3 linked regions of the Rattus norvegicus genome follow. The protein of the gene in region 3 interacts with the protein of the main gene of each other region in a pairwise test. Links are inferred from orthologs where the notes say so. Each region holds a gene or a part of one and is shown on either strand. Other genes may lie near its edges. The genes, in order: Ssx2ip, Zbtb1 and Ndn.

Region 1 (3,653 bases), on a different chromosome or scaffold from region 3:
ACTGTCGGGAAAACAAGGTAAATCTCAGAAGCTAGTATCTGCTCCTTGGTCATCGTTTAGAGCAGGTGTTCCCGAATGTCTCACGTCTGACTACCCCCACGTCTGCACTAATGATGTTAGACCCACTCAGGAAATCAGGAGGATGCGCTTGGAAGTGCTTTCCTCAGACTTCCATGTACACACGGGGTGAGGCTGAGCGGCAGGGTCCTGCACAGCAATGATCACTCCCATATCTGACCTCCCATCACTTCACTAGCTCTGGGCTCCTTTTATGACCCAATTCCAAAGAAATATCATCTCTCAGCTCCAACCGTGCCTTCCAACCTGCTCTCCCACTGCACGGCACTCCACGTCCATTCCCACAGAGAAATGTGCGATGCTATTTTATTAGAGTTCGTGTTTCCCTTTACCTCCTCTGTTTAAATCTCTCACATTTGCTCCACAGTTCTTAGATTAGACCTAAAAACAGACTTAAATCATCTTAGAAAATTATATATGCACGTGCCCTGAGGACAGGGAATAAGCTGCTTTAATACTTCTACCTGAGGCAGGAATTTTCTTACCAACCTGAGGAAGTGCTTTTCCTCGGCTCTTTGCCCTTCAATACCCACGCTATGAGCATACCAAAGAAACTTAAGTTAGGTACTCTGAAAAACTACCAAAACGGCAGTCTTCAGCATGATCAAAGTACTTAGAGTTTTAAATGTTTCATGACATAATCGCCTTAGTCTCTCTTTTAAGGTAGTGTCTTGGTATGTAGCGCTGTCTAACTTAGAACTTGCCACGTACAGCAAGACAGCCTGTTCCCTGAGTACAGGGTGAAAGCTGTGCACCGCACTGGCCCAGAAGTCTAGACTTCAAATGTGAGCAGAGACAGACAGGAGTGGACTGGATCTACTAGAGTTCTAAACGTGGCTCTAAGCCTCACACACTGGCAATCTCTCTGCAGACAGAATAAATAAGTCAATCTAATTTCTTTCCAAAGTGTACACTGTCATAAGACACACACACACACACACACACACACACACACACACACACACACACACACTCACACACCAACTTCTTCTAAGCAATACAATGTTAACCAATTTTAGAAGTGTGTGAAACGATCACTTAAAAACAAATACCTGTGCTCAGACACACATGAGCGAGACGGGCAGAAGTCTGAAGGTGAGGTCGGAAGAGACTTAGCCAGTTTGGATGTGCAAGCTGGTACCCCATTAGCGACACTGTGTGGCTTCTTTTGCCGTGGCCGTGGGTGGACTATAAGATTGTCTGGATCAGAACCTGGTTATGAGTAAGAGAAAGAACAGGACACATGGTAAACTATCAACCACGGAGATCACGAACCAGGATCAAGCACTTGCAATTCAGAGTGGACTTTGAGAAAGAATAAATTACCTGCCATCTCTGTCACACAATCTCCAGAGAGAGGGGCCTAGCTTAAAAATGGTCAGTTTCTAAGATCACAAATTTTCATGAACATGGATAGCATCATCATAAACCCACAAGAGCACTTTTTATATGCATGCTTCTCCCATGAACCTCACTCTGACTTAAGTAAATAAACCATTAAGCTGGTTTTTGGGGGTTAGGGGTCTGGCTCCTTGGTAGAATAGTAGCCTGTTACAGGTTGAGTTCCTGGGTCTGATCACTAGAACTTGAACACGGGTAGGCAGAGAGAGATTAAAACACTTAGACTAAGTCTTCAGCTCCAGATAGGCCATCCTGTACGCACTGGGGCTGCCAGCTCGCTCGGCGCCGGACTGGGACACATTCCAACCAGACACACGTCAACACTTACTTCCTGAAAAGGCACTGAAAAGTTTCACATTTTCTGAGTTCTGGTGATCAAAGGTCGTCATGTTTAAAAACTGCTGCTTCACCCAGCTGGCTCGCTCTTCCTCAAACGCCTTTCTCTAGTGGGACGAAGACGAAGGCAGTTACTCCACTGTTAACTCTCTCTCCCTCTCAGGAACTTCTCCAGCTGCTTCCCCTCTGCAACCTGTACCTTCTTACATGAAATAGTCACCTAGAAACTAAAGGACTCAAGAAAATCACGTTTAAGAAACTAAAGTTGGGGACAGCAAGGCGGCTGCACTGGTTAAGAGCACCTGATGCTCCACACAGGGCCTGGGCTCCACTCCCAGCTCCCACGAGACGGCTCATGAGTCTCGAGCACCCACTCAGGTGACAGGATATCCTCTGGCCTCTGAGGGCACCAGGGACACATGTTCACCTTCAGGTCTAACACCCGCACACATAGGCTAATAATCTTTAAATAATGAAAACCACAGACTTCACTGATAGTCCATCGACTGCTGGGTTTCCCATGAACACAGTATTAGCAGAACTATGACACAAAGAACACGCAACACAAAACTGATATCAGAAAAACCCCCACTTTACAAATCACCCACTGGGAAACAGACGTCTGACCTCTCCGGAGATTTCTTTTGTCTTGTCGCCATTTGCCAGTGGGAGCCACAAGAGGAAAGACAGATTACACAGGATCATCTTCTGATCACATGATTACACAGAATCTCCTCATGATCACGTGATGATCCCTAAACCACATTTTCTCTCATTCCTCTGTCATGGCCACCCATGTCTCCAAGCAGACATACTCTTGGGCAGGGTCACACGGCTGCCAGGCGCACACGAGGCACTGGCTGCCTGAGGAACACTCGGGGCTTAAGTAAGGGTGTGGGGGAGTCGTGCAGGCGACTTAGGATGCCTGGCACTGAGTCTGTTACTCACACTGTGAATACGAAACCAGATTTGACCCACGCTGGGGCAAACAGCAGCAGAAGAGGAAAAGCAAAGGTAAACTGACTGCAAATAACGGTGTTCCTAGAGTTCTGAAAATGCCGTCACACAGATTATAAGATTCAAAACGCATGCAAGACAACAATAGTATATAAAGAAAAGGAAATTTAAGTGTACTAGAAAAATAAAAAAAAAACAAATTCTGAAATAAAAAAAAAAAAATCAGGGGTTCGGGATTTAGCTCAGTGGTAGAGCGCTTGCCTAGCAAACGCAAGGCCCTGGGTTTGGTCCCCAGCTCTGAAAAAAAGAAAAAAGAAAAAAAAAGTCAGTGACTGAAATAAATAATAAAACTGATCCTAAAGACAGTTTGGTGATCCAAAGAATAATATAAAAAATGTCCAGAACTTAGAACCCAGTGTCAGCCACAGGCACACCTGAGGGCCAGACACCGTCAAACAACAGGGAAGACAGACACAGAGGAAACAAGCAGGAGAAAACACCTCTACGTGGAAGACACGGGACTCTCAGAGGAAGAAACTAAGTGTGTCCTGAGGAGATTGGGAACTGTGAAAATCCCCTAAGCTTGCGCAGAAGGCGTCCCACAACACTGCCTACGAGGTGACATAGGAAATGTCTAGCTGCAACAAAATTAAAATAAATAATTCAATTTTTTAAAAAATATTTCATGTATATGGGTGGTTTGCCTACATGTCTGTGCCTGATACAGAACAGGCTTCTGCTCCCCTAGACCTGACTCACGGACGGCTGTGAGCTGCCGTGTGAGTGCTGGGAACTGAACCCAGGTCCTCCGGGGGAGCAGCCAGTGCTCTTAACCCCAAGCCACCTTCCAATCCCCTTCTTTCAATTGTTGAAGGGAAAGC
Region 2 (3,753 bases), on a different chromosome or scaffold from region 3:
TGCCTAATAAGTTTGTCAATTTAAGAATATAGATTTCATTTATAAGGGAGAATAGTAGCCACCCCACTATACAACTGACAAAAAGCCCCCCGCCAAACAAACAAACAAACAAACAAACAAAAAAACCCCCAAAAACCCAAAAAGCAAAAAACAAAAAGTTAAAAACAAATAGAATAGTTTTAAATAATTATTTTAAAATTCTATAAAAATTTAAGCAGGAATGGTAAATAATCTTGGGTTTAAAATTTCATAGGATGACCTTAAAATGAAAGTACATAGAAATAGCAAAGTTTTTACCTTATTGGTTAAAAAAACAAAACAAAACAAAAAAAACCCAAAAAAAAATTAAAAAGAAAAAACCCAAAAAACTAGTTTTAATAGTCATTGAAGGGATAACAGCCACTTAACAGTCTACATCGAAAAGTAATTTTAATGGTAGTTAAGAAACTAGGAACAAAGAATGCTCTCAAAAACAACAAAAATGATAAACATTAATGCCTAAAATATACTTAAGGTCCTAAACAAAAACGTTCAAAGTAAAAGGGCCTTGAAGATTCCCTCAACACTTGTTATAAAATCAGTTCTAAATAGCTCATCTCCTCTTTGCTTTGGTGTTCTGCCTAGCAACTAAACATGTGTACAGGAGAAACCCATCAGGTTCTTTTCAAATGCTTGGCATTATAATGTGATCTCATATCCTTCCTCAAATTAAACTTTGCTCCACATATTCCACACGTATACAGATGGACATCCATGTGTTGCTCCAGTTGTTCATTATTTGGGAATATCTGAAAGCAGACCTGGCATATAGTCTCACCACCAGACAAATGCGAGATCATATGCCGTACATGGTCATGTTTTCGGAAGTTTCCTTGATCACAAATGGAACAGACATACCTGGCCATGCCTTTGTGCATATCATTGTGCAGACGCAACTGGCGCTCTCTTAAAAACTGCTTCCCACATGTCTGACAAACAAACTGCTTTTCTTTAGTATGAACAGTATAGTGCTCTCTCAAATGACAGCGCTGATAGAAGCCTTTTCCACACAGGTTACAGAAATGTTTCCGTCTGTGATCTCGTTCATTCTCCTCCATGACGGCGCCCTTAAACATGTCTTGGTCTAGGCAGCTAGACATATGCTCCACCACTAGATTTTCAGTTTCAAAACGCTGGCCACAATTAGGACATCGAAAAGGACAGGCAGAATGTTTAAATAACTGTTTTTTCTGGATACTGTTTATTTGGTAATGATTGTCTCTGAAATCATCCAGCATCTCAACAAACATGTCTCTTATCTCAGACTGCTCATCTGGGTTCTCTTCCATGTCCATCTTCTCGTCAGTGTTCCCCAGCCCGTTCATCGTCAGGTCCTGAGGTTCGCCACACCTCTGAGCGTGTTCCTGAAGCTGTCTGCCCTTGACAAGTATCTGCCCACATTTACCACATGCGCAGATATTTTCAATGTGCTTGGCTAAGTAATGAGAGGACAGGTCCTCCTCCGTTATCGTGAGCCCACACAACTCACAAGACGCATTCTCGGCGTCCTCCTGTCTGGGGCTGCTGTTGTTTGGGGGTCTCATGTTCTCCAAACCACCCCTTTCATCCACGCCGACGGACATCCGAGGTTTTAGGGTTTTCCTACCACTTTTTTTAATGCCAACATCTTCCTCGACGTAGTATCTGTAGAACGGCTCCTCGGGCTCGTCCTCTAGCTCATCGTTGTCGGTGGACTCGTTGCAGTCTTTCTCGGTGACCTTGACGATGGTGAAGTCCTTCATGTCGTCTGCAGGGACGTCCTCTGGCTCCATCTTGATGACAACTCTTTTTGTCTCCGCAGCTCTGCTCTTCTCTTCACCAGCTGTGCCGGACTCCACAGTGCTTTTTCTGCTCCCAGTGGGCGAGGCTGAGTCATCGGGCGCCTGGCTGGCGTCTTCTCTGTATTTGTCTGTGTGTGCAGAAAACGCTGTAGGAGAGCCCTTGTCACCGAGTTCAGCTTTGATGGCACTGTCTTTCCCATCTCTAGCATCCACCACTCGGTGGTAGGCTCTCGCCGTGCTCTGGTAGGAGTGCCTGTTGGTGCAGGTCAGCACGTGTTCGTCCAGCAGCTTTTCACAGCTAAAGCCAAACCCACAACTGTCACAGGTAAAACTCCGTCCAAAGCGTCGCGACACACGTTCTTTTGGAGTAGATAACTTGGACACGGAACTTTTTTTACACACGTCAAACAGTGGCTCAGGAAAGTTGGCCAACGGTAAAGACTCCTCCTCAGGCTCTCTGTTATGTGGCGTATTCACCGTTGAACTGGGCTCCGCACTCCACCGGTTGGCTTCACTGCCGTTTCTAGCCACTGTGTCTTCATACATCCTCACCCCAAAGATCATCTTGCTGTTGTGTTTGCTGGAGGCGGAAGACGAGCACTTCGAGCTGGAACAGTCTGAGTCCTGTATATCTTCTAAGCAGTCAGGAACATTGTAGAGCTGGAGGTAGTTCATAGCCACTTTGAACTGCTCAAAACTGGAAGGAGCGGTCAGAATCTTCCCTAAATACATGAACTGCAAAATGAGATCGAAGCACTCGGCGCTGATCTTCATGTTGCTGAGGTTCAGCTGGGCAGTGCTATGCTGATGGTTCATGAAGAACATCCTGAAGTAGGAGCTACAGGCAGCTAGCACGGCCTTGTGTGCTTGGAAGTAAGTGTCGTCAATGGCGATGCAGCAGTCGCACAGAAAGCCCCACTCTCTCTGGTTGTTTAGCTGCTGCAGGACGTAGCTGCTGTGGCTGGGCTTGGCCATCTCCTGCCGGTGAGCCTGTGTAAAACAAGGACATGACAGTCAGGCGGCAGGAAGGCGCTAAAAAGGGCACTCTAGCATCATGTTTGACTGGTGTACTTTTGCTATTACAATCAAAGCATGGTTTTCTACACTAATGAAGCAAAAGCTGGTAATTTTTTTTAAGTTTGAAGATGAAAATACCTAGTTATTTTTTCAGTTTTCTTATATTGAACAAAAGGAATCAGAAGCAAAATCCTTAATATTTCCATAATCCTTAATAAATCCAAACCCAAGATCTCTTGGTTGGTGGAGTACTTGTCTTAGAAAGCGTGAGGGTGGGGCTGGGGATTTAGCTCAGTGGTAGAGCGCTTACCTAGGAAGCGCAAGGCCCTGGGTTCGGTCCCCAGCTCCGGGGAAAAAAAAAAAAAAAAAAAAAAAGAACCAAGAAAGCGTGAGGGCCCGGCTCTGACATGGCTGCTGTGCTGGGGCAGTCTTTAGTCCCTTACAGCCGAATTCAGGAGGCAGAGGATTCCAGACTAGCCTGGTCTACAGAGCAAGTTCCAGGCCAGCCAAGGCTACTCATGAGACCTTGTGTGCACACAAAGGAGCAAGCATGAGGACTACCAGAAACCACAGATCTAAAAAAAGCAGGGCATGGGGCAGACCCACTGCAACCGGCCAGCCTATTTTCGAAGTACCAAGCCAACGAGAAACCATCTCAAGAAACAAGGTAGACAGCACCCAAGGAATAACACCCAAGGTTGACCTCTGGCCTACACACACACACACACACACACACACACACACACACACACACACACACACACAGAGGCCTCTGTACAAAAACAAACATATACACACCAAAATTGTTTTCATCCTAGAGGAAGAAACACGTAATAAATCTGAACGAGACCAGACATTAATCCAAAAGATATAAACAACAAAAGTAAATAAAACAGCAATGTAAAGTTAATGAATT
Region 3 (3,145 bases):
AGTTTCCTAATTCGTACATTCAGAGGCTAATTTGCGCAAAACTCTCAGAATTAATTAGAAAAATCAAATCCTTAATGTATGCAGCAGGGAGACAAGGGTGCTTGTGTGAGTGGTAGCCATGGGGAGCTAAGTGTCAAGACTCCAGTATAAGGTCTATGATTTTTAGGGTATTTCATTACCAGCATCCTTTCATTTTTCTTGCTTTGTGCTGATACAGTCATTCCTTACTTCTTATGGCTGGTGGGAGGATAAAATAAAGAAGAAAATGCACAACGAGGGTTTAGTAGCAATATTTCATTCTGTTAAAGTGCCCACCAAAGACTATTTAAAACAAAAAAACAAAACAAAACAAAACAGAAAAGGGACAGTCCCTACATAATTCCTGTTATTATTCCCACGTTATGTGAACATGCCTTTTTTTGTTATCACGCCTTTAATGTGACCAATTTCTTGAAGCACCACAATTTTCAAAAAACTTCTGAGTGGTTATGAGTGGTGTTTTCCCACTCTGTTAGAAGTATACTTGCTCATGTTGTACACGGGGAGAATCTTTCTCATCCCTACCCACTCCCATTCCCCCTTTCACCAAAATAAATGCCTCCCCCCCAAACAAAGAAATTATTTCACGGTATATTTAATGCTCATTTTAAAGTTTATTTATGGTGGGGTTGGATACATGTTTTGCAAAGTGTGCTAAGTGCTTAAACTGAAAACAGTCCAGTTCAAATCAGTCCATTCCACATGGATGTTTCCTGTGCCAGTTGGAGTCATATGGAGAGGGACCCTGACCTTTCTCTTGGTCAGGTCTGTGTTGTTGTTAAGTCCTGCTAACTCTCCAGGGCCTTCTTTGTCGATACGGACCATCAGTCCCATTCAAAGAACAAGATACAGAACACCTCAATGTATTTCACAAGTTTAGCACAGCACATCTCTTGTACAAAAATCCAAGAAAGCACAGAAGTGAAAGTACCAACTTGCTCACTTATAAAACACACATGCATCAATTTTAAACACTACACGAGTACACAACTGAATACATTGCATTACAAGATAAAAAAAGCACTGGATGGAAAACTTAAAAACTATACATGAAATACTGCACTATGAATCTGGGATACTCTAATGTCCAACCCCACCCTTACACAGCCCTAGTATGGGTCAGAAACTATCAATGTGCTCCTGGACATTTTAGTCCTCAGAGACACTGCTGCGGGGGGCCTGGGCGACAAGATTAGCCTCCCGCAGAGCTCTGGCCTGCTCCAGAGCCTCTCTGTAGCGGGAAGGCCAAGCCTGGGGATCCTTCTTAAAGACTCTGGCCAGGAACTCCATGATCTGCATCTTGGTGATTTCACGGTTAGCTCTGGGGCCCCAGAAGAACTCGTACTCGGGAGGCTCGATGTGGGGCACACGCTGGTACTTCAGGTAATTCTGCTGGACGAACTCCTCGGTGATAATCTTTCTCACATCTCCGAAGGTGGAGTGCTTCTTCCAGGGCCTCAGCCCCAGGATGCGCAGCACATTCCAGACCGCACCCTCTCTGGCCCCGCGGCCCTTCACATAGATGAGACTCAGGATCATGAGCAGGAGACCTGTCATGGGCATACGGTTGTTCAGCGCGACTCTGTCCAGCTCTTCTGGGCTGAGTGCTTTGACCAGGGCGAACTCCATGGTGTGGAGATTGGTCAGCCTCAGGTGCAGCCCGAAAACTCTGGCGAGGATGACGCTGGTGCGCCTGAGGATGCTTCTGCACCACTTCTTGTAGCTGCCCATGACCTCTTTCACCATGTCTGGAAACCAGAGGACCATCCTCTTCTGGTCCTTGACCAACACGTACCACATGAGCTCGTGCGCCTTCTGCACCAGCTGGGCAGGGGCCGGCGGTGCTGGGATCGGCCGGGCTGGGCTCTGGGGCTGGTGGGCGCGGCCCTCTTCTGCGGCCTGCTGCAGGATCTTAGGGTCAACCTCTTCAAACCGTTCTGCAGGTGGTGGCGAGGCCTGTGGGGCTGCCATAGGGCCTTCCGGAGCGCACGATGGCCCTGAGAGGTTCGCGGCCAGAGGAGCGGGAGGAGGGACCCCCACCGGAACAGCATCGCTGACCTGCATCTCAGTGTCGGGGTCCTCAGCGGCAAAGTTAGGGTCGCTCAGGTCCTTACTTTGTTCCGACATTCTGCGTCTTTTGATCAGAGCAGGACCGCTGCGACTCGGAGCTCTCGGAGCCTGCACTGCCTCAGTGGATACTAGCAGAGGAAGTGCGCTTTACTGAGCACTGCGCCTTCCGCAGCAGCGGGCCGGGCGGGGCAGACGCTATATTGCGCATGCGTAGTGGGAAGCCAGAAGGGTGGTAGGGCTGGATAGGAGCGAAGTAGCAAAGCCCAACCACTGGGGTCTAAGGGAGGGTACCACTAGTATTATGAAAAGGATCTCCTGGTCTCCTGTATGGGACAGAGATGGGTGATAGTGGGGAAAGAAACAAGTTGAAGGAGAAAGATATAGCTGAGATGGTGAAGTTAAGTTCCGACACACTGAGTTAAGTGTGAAGGTCCTGGAGGAAGAAGACTAATTCTTGAATTTGAGTTTTCCACAAAAGAATAGGAGAGACAAAAATAACCTTTTCTTGGAAAGTCATACCTGATGATGATGATGATGATGATGATGATGTGTTGTCTAATATCAGAATGTTGAGAAATTATTAATAGAGATAAATCGTTACAAATCTGAGCAGTATCAAACAAGGAAGAATGCAAAGTATAGTTACAGACACTGGAAATCAATCCATGTGAGAATTTAATGTTTTAGAAGTAGATTCATATAACATAATTGATGTGCGTCTAAAATTTTAATTAAAATGGGACTTGGTTCAGTGGGCAAGAGCTGTTGCAGTTCAAGCATGAACCTGAGTTTAAACCCCAGGTCCCACATGAACAAAACAGATATATAAAATTATTTATATGTATTCATTCATCGTTGGATTCTTAGTTTGTTGGCTTACAATTATTTTAATAACTATGGATTTGGGCTCTGCATTTCTATTAGGTCACTTTGATTTCATTTAGAAATTCCCTTAAGAATCTAGTGGGAAATGATCAACATGTTTATTAATACACATTTTATGATAGTGTATTTTTCATGCACTCCCAGTGCCCTT

What was found.
Region 1: the proteins of Ndn (region 3) and Ssx2ip interact in a two-hybrid assay, tested with the Homo sapiens proteins (2 studies listed by BioGRID). The link is inferred for Rattus norvegicus from reciprocal best matches to the Homo sapiens genes NDN and SSX2IP.
Region 2: the proteins of Ndn (region 3) and Zbtb1 interact in a two-hybrid assay, tested with the Homo sapiens proteins (2 studies listed by BioGRID and IntAct). The link is inferred for Rattus norvegicus from reciprocal best matches to the Homo sapiens genes NDN and ZBTB1.

The regions. Positions count from the first base shown.
Region 1 is NC_086020.1:237,985,907-237,989,559, reverse strand, and holds part of Ssx2ip (afadin- and alpha-actinin-binding protein), read right to left. Parts: intron 1,923-3,653; coding exon 1,808-1,922; intron 1,291-1,807; coding exon 1,131-1,290; intron 2-1,130; coding exon 1-1. UniProt on the Homo sapiens protein: Belongs to an adhesion system, which plays a role in the organization of homotypic, interneuronal and heterotypic cell-cell adherens junctions (AJs).
Region 2 is NC_086024.1:100,844,139-100,847,891, reverse strand, and holds the start of Zbtb1 (zinc finger and BTB domain-containing protein 1), read right to left. Parts: upstream 2,796-3,753; coding exon 654-2,795; 3' UTR 1-653.
Region 3 is NC_086019.1:125,260,147-125,263,291, reverse strand, and holds Ndn (necdin), read right to left. Parts: upstream 2,234-3,145; 5' UTR 2,167-2,233; coding exon 1,189-2,166; 3' UTR 634-1,188; downstream 1-633. UniProt on the Homo sapiens protein: Growth suppressor that facilitates the entry of the cell into cell cycle arrest.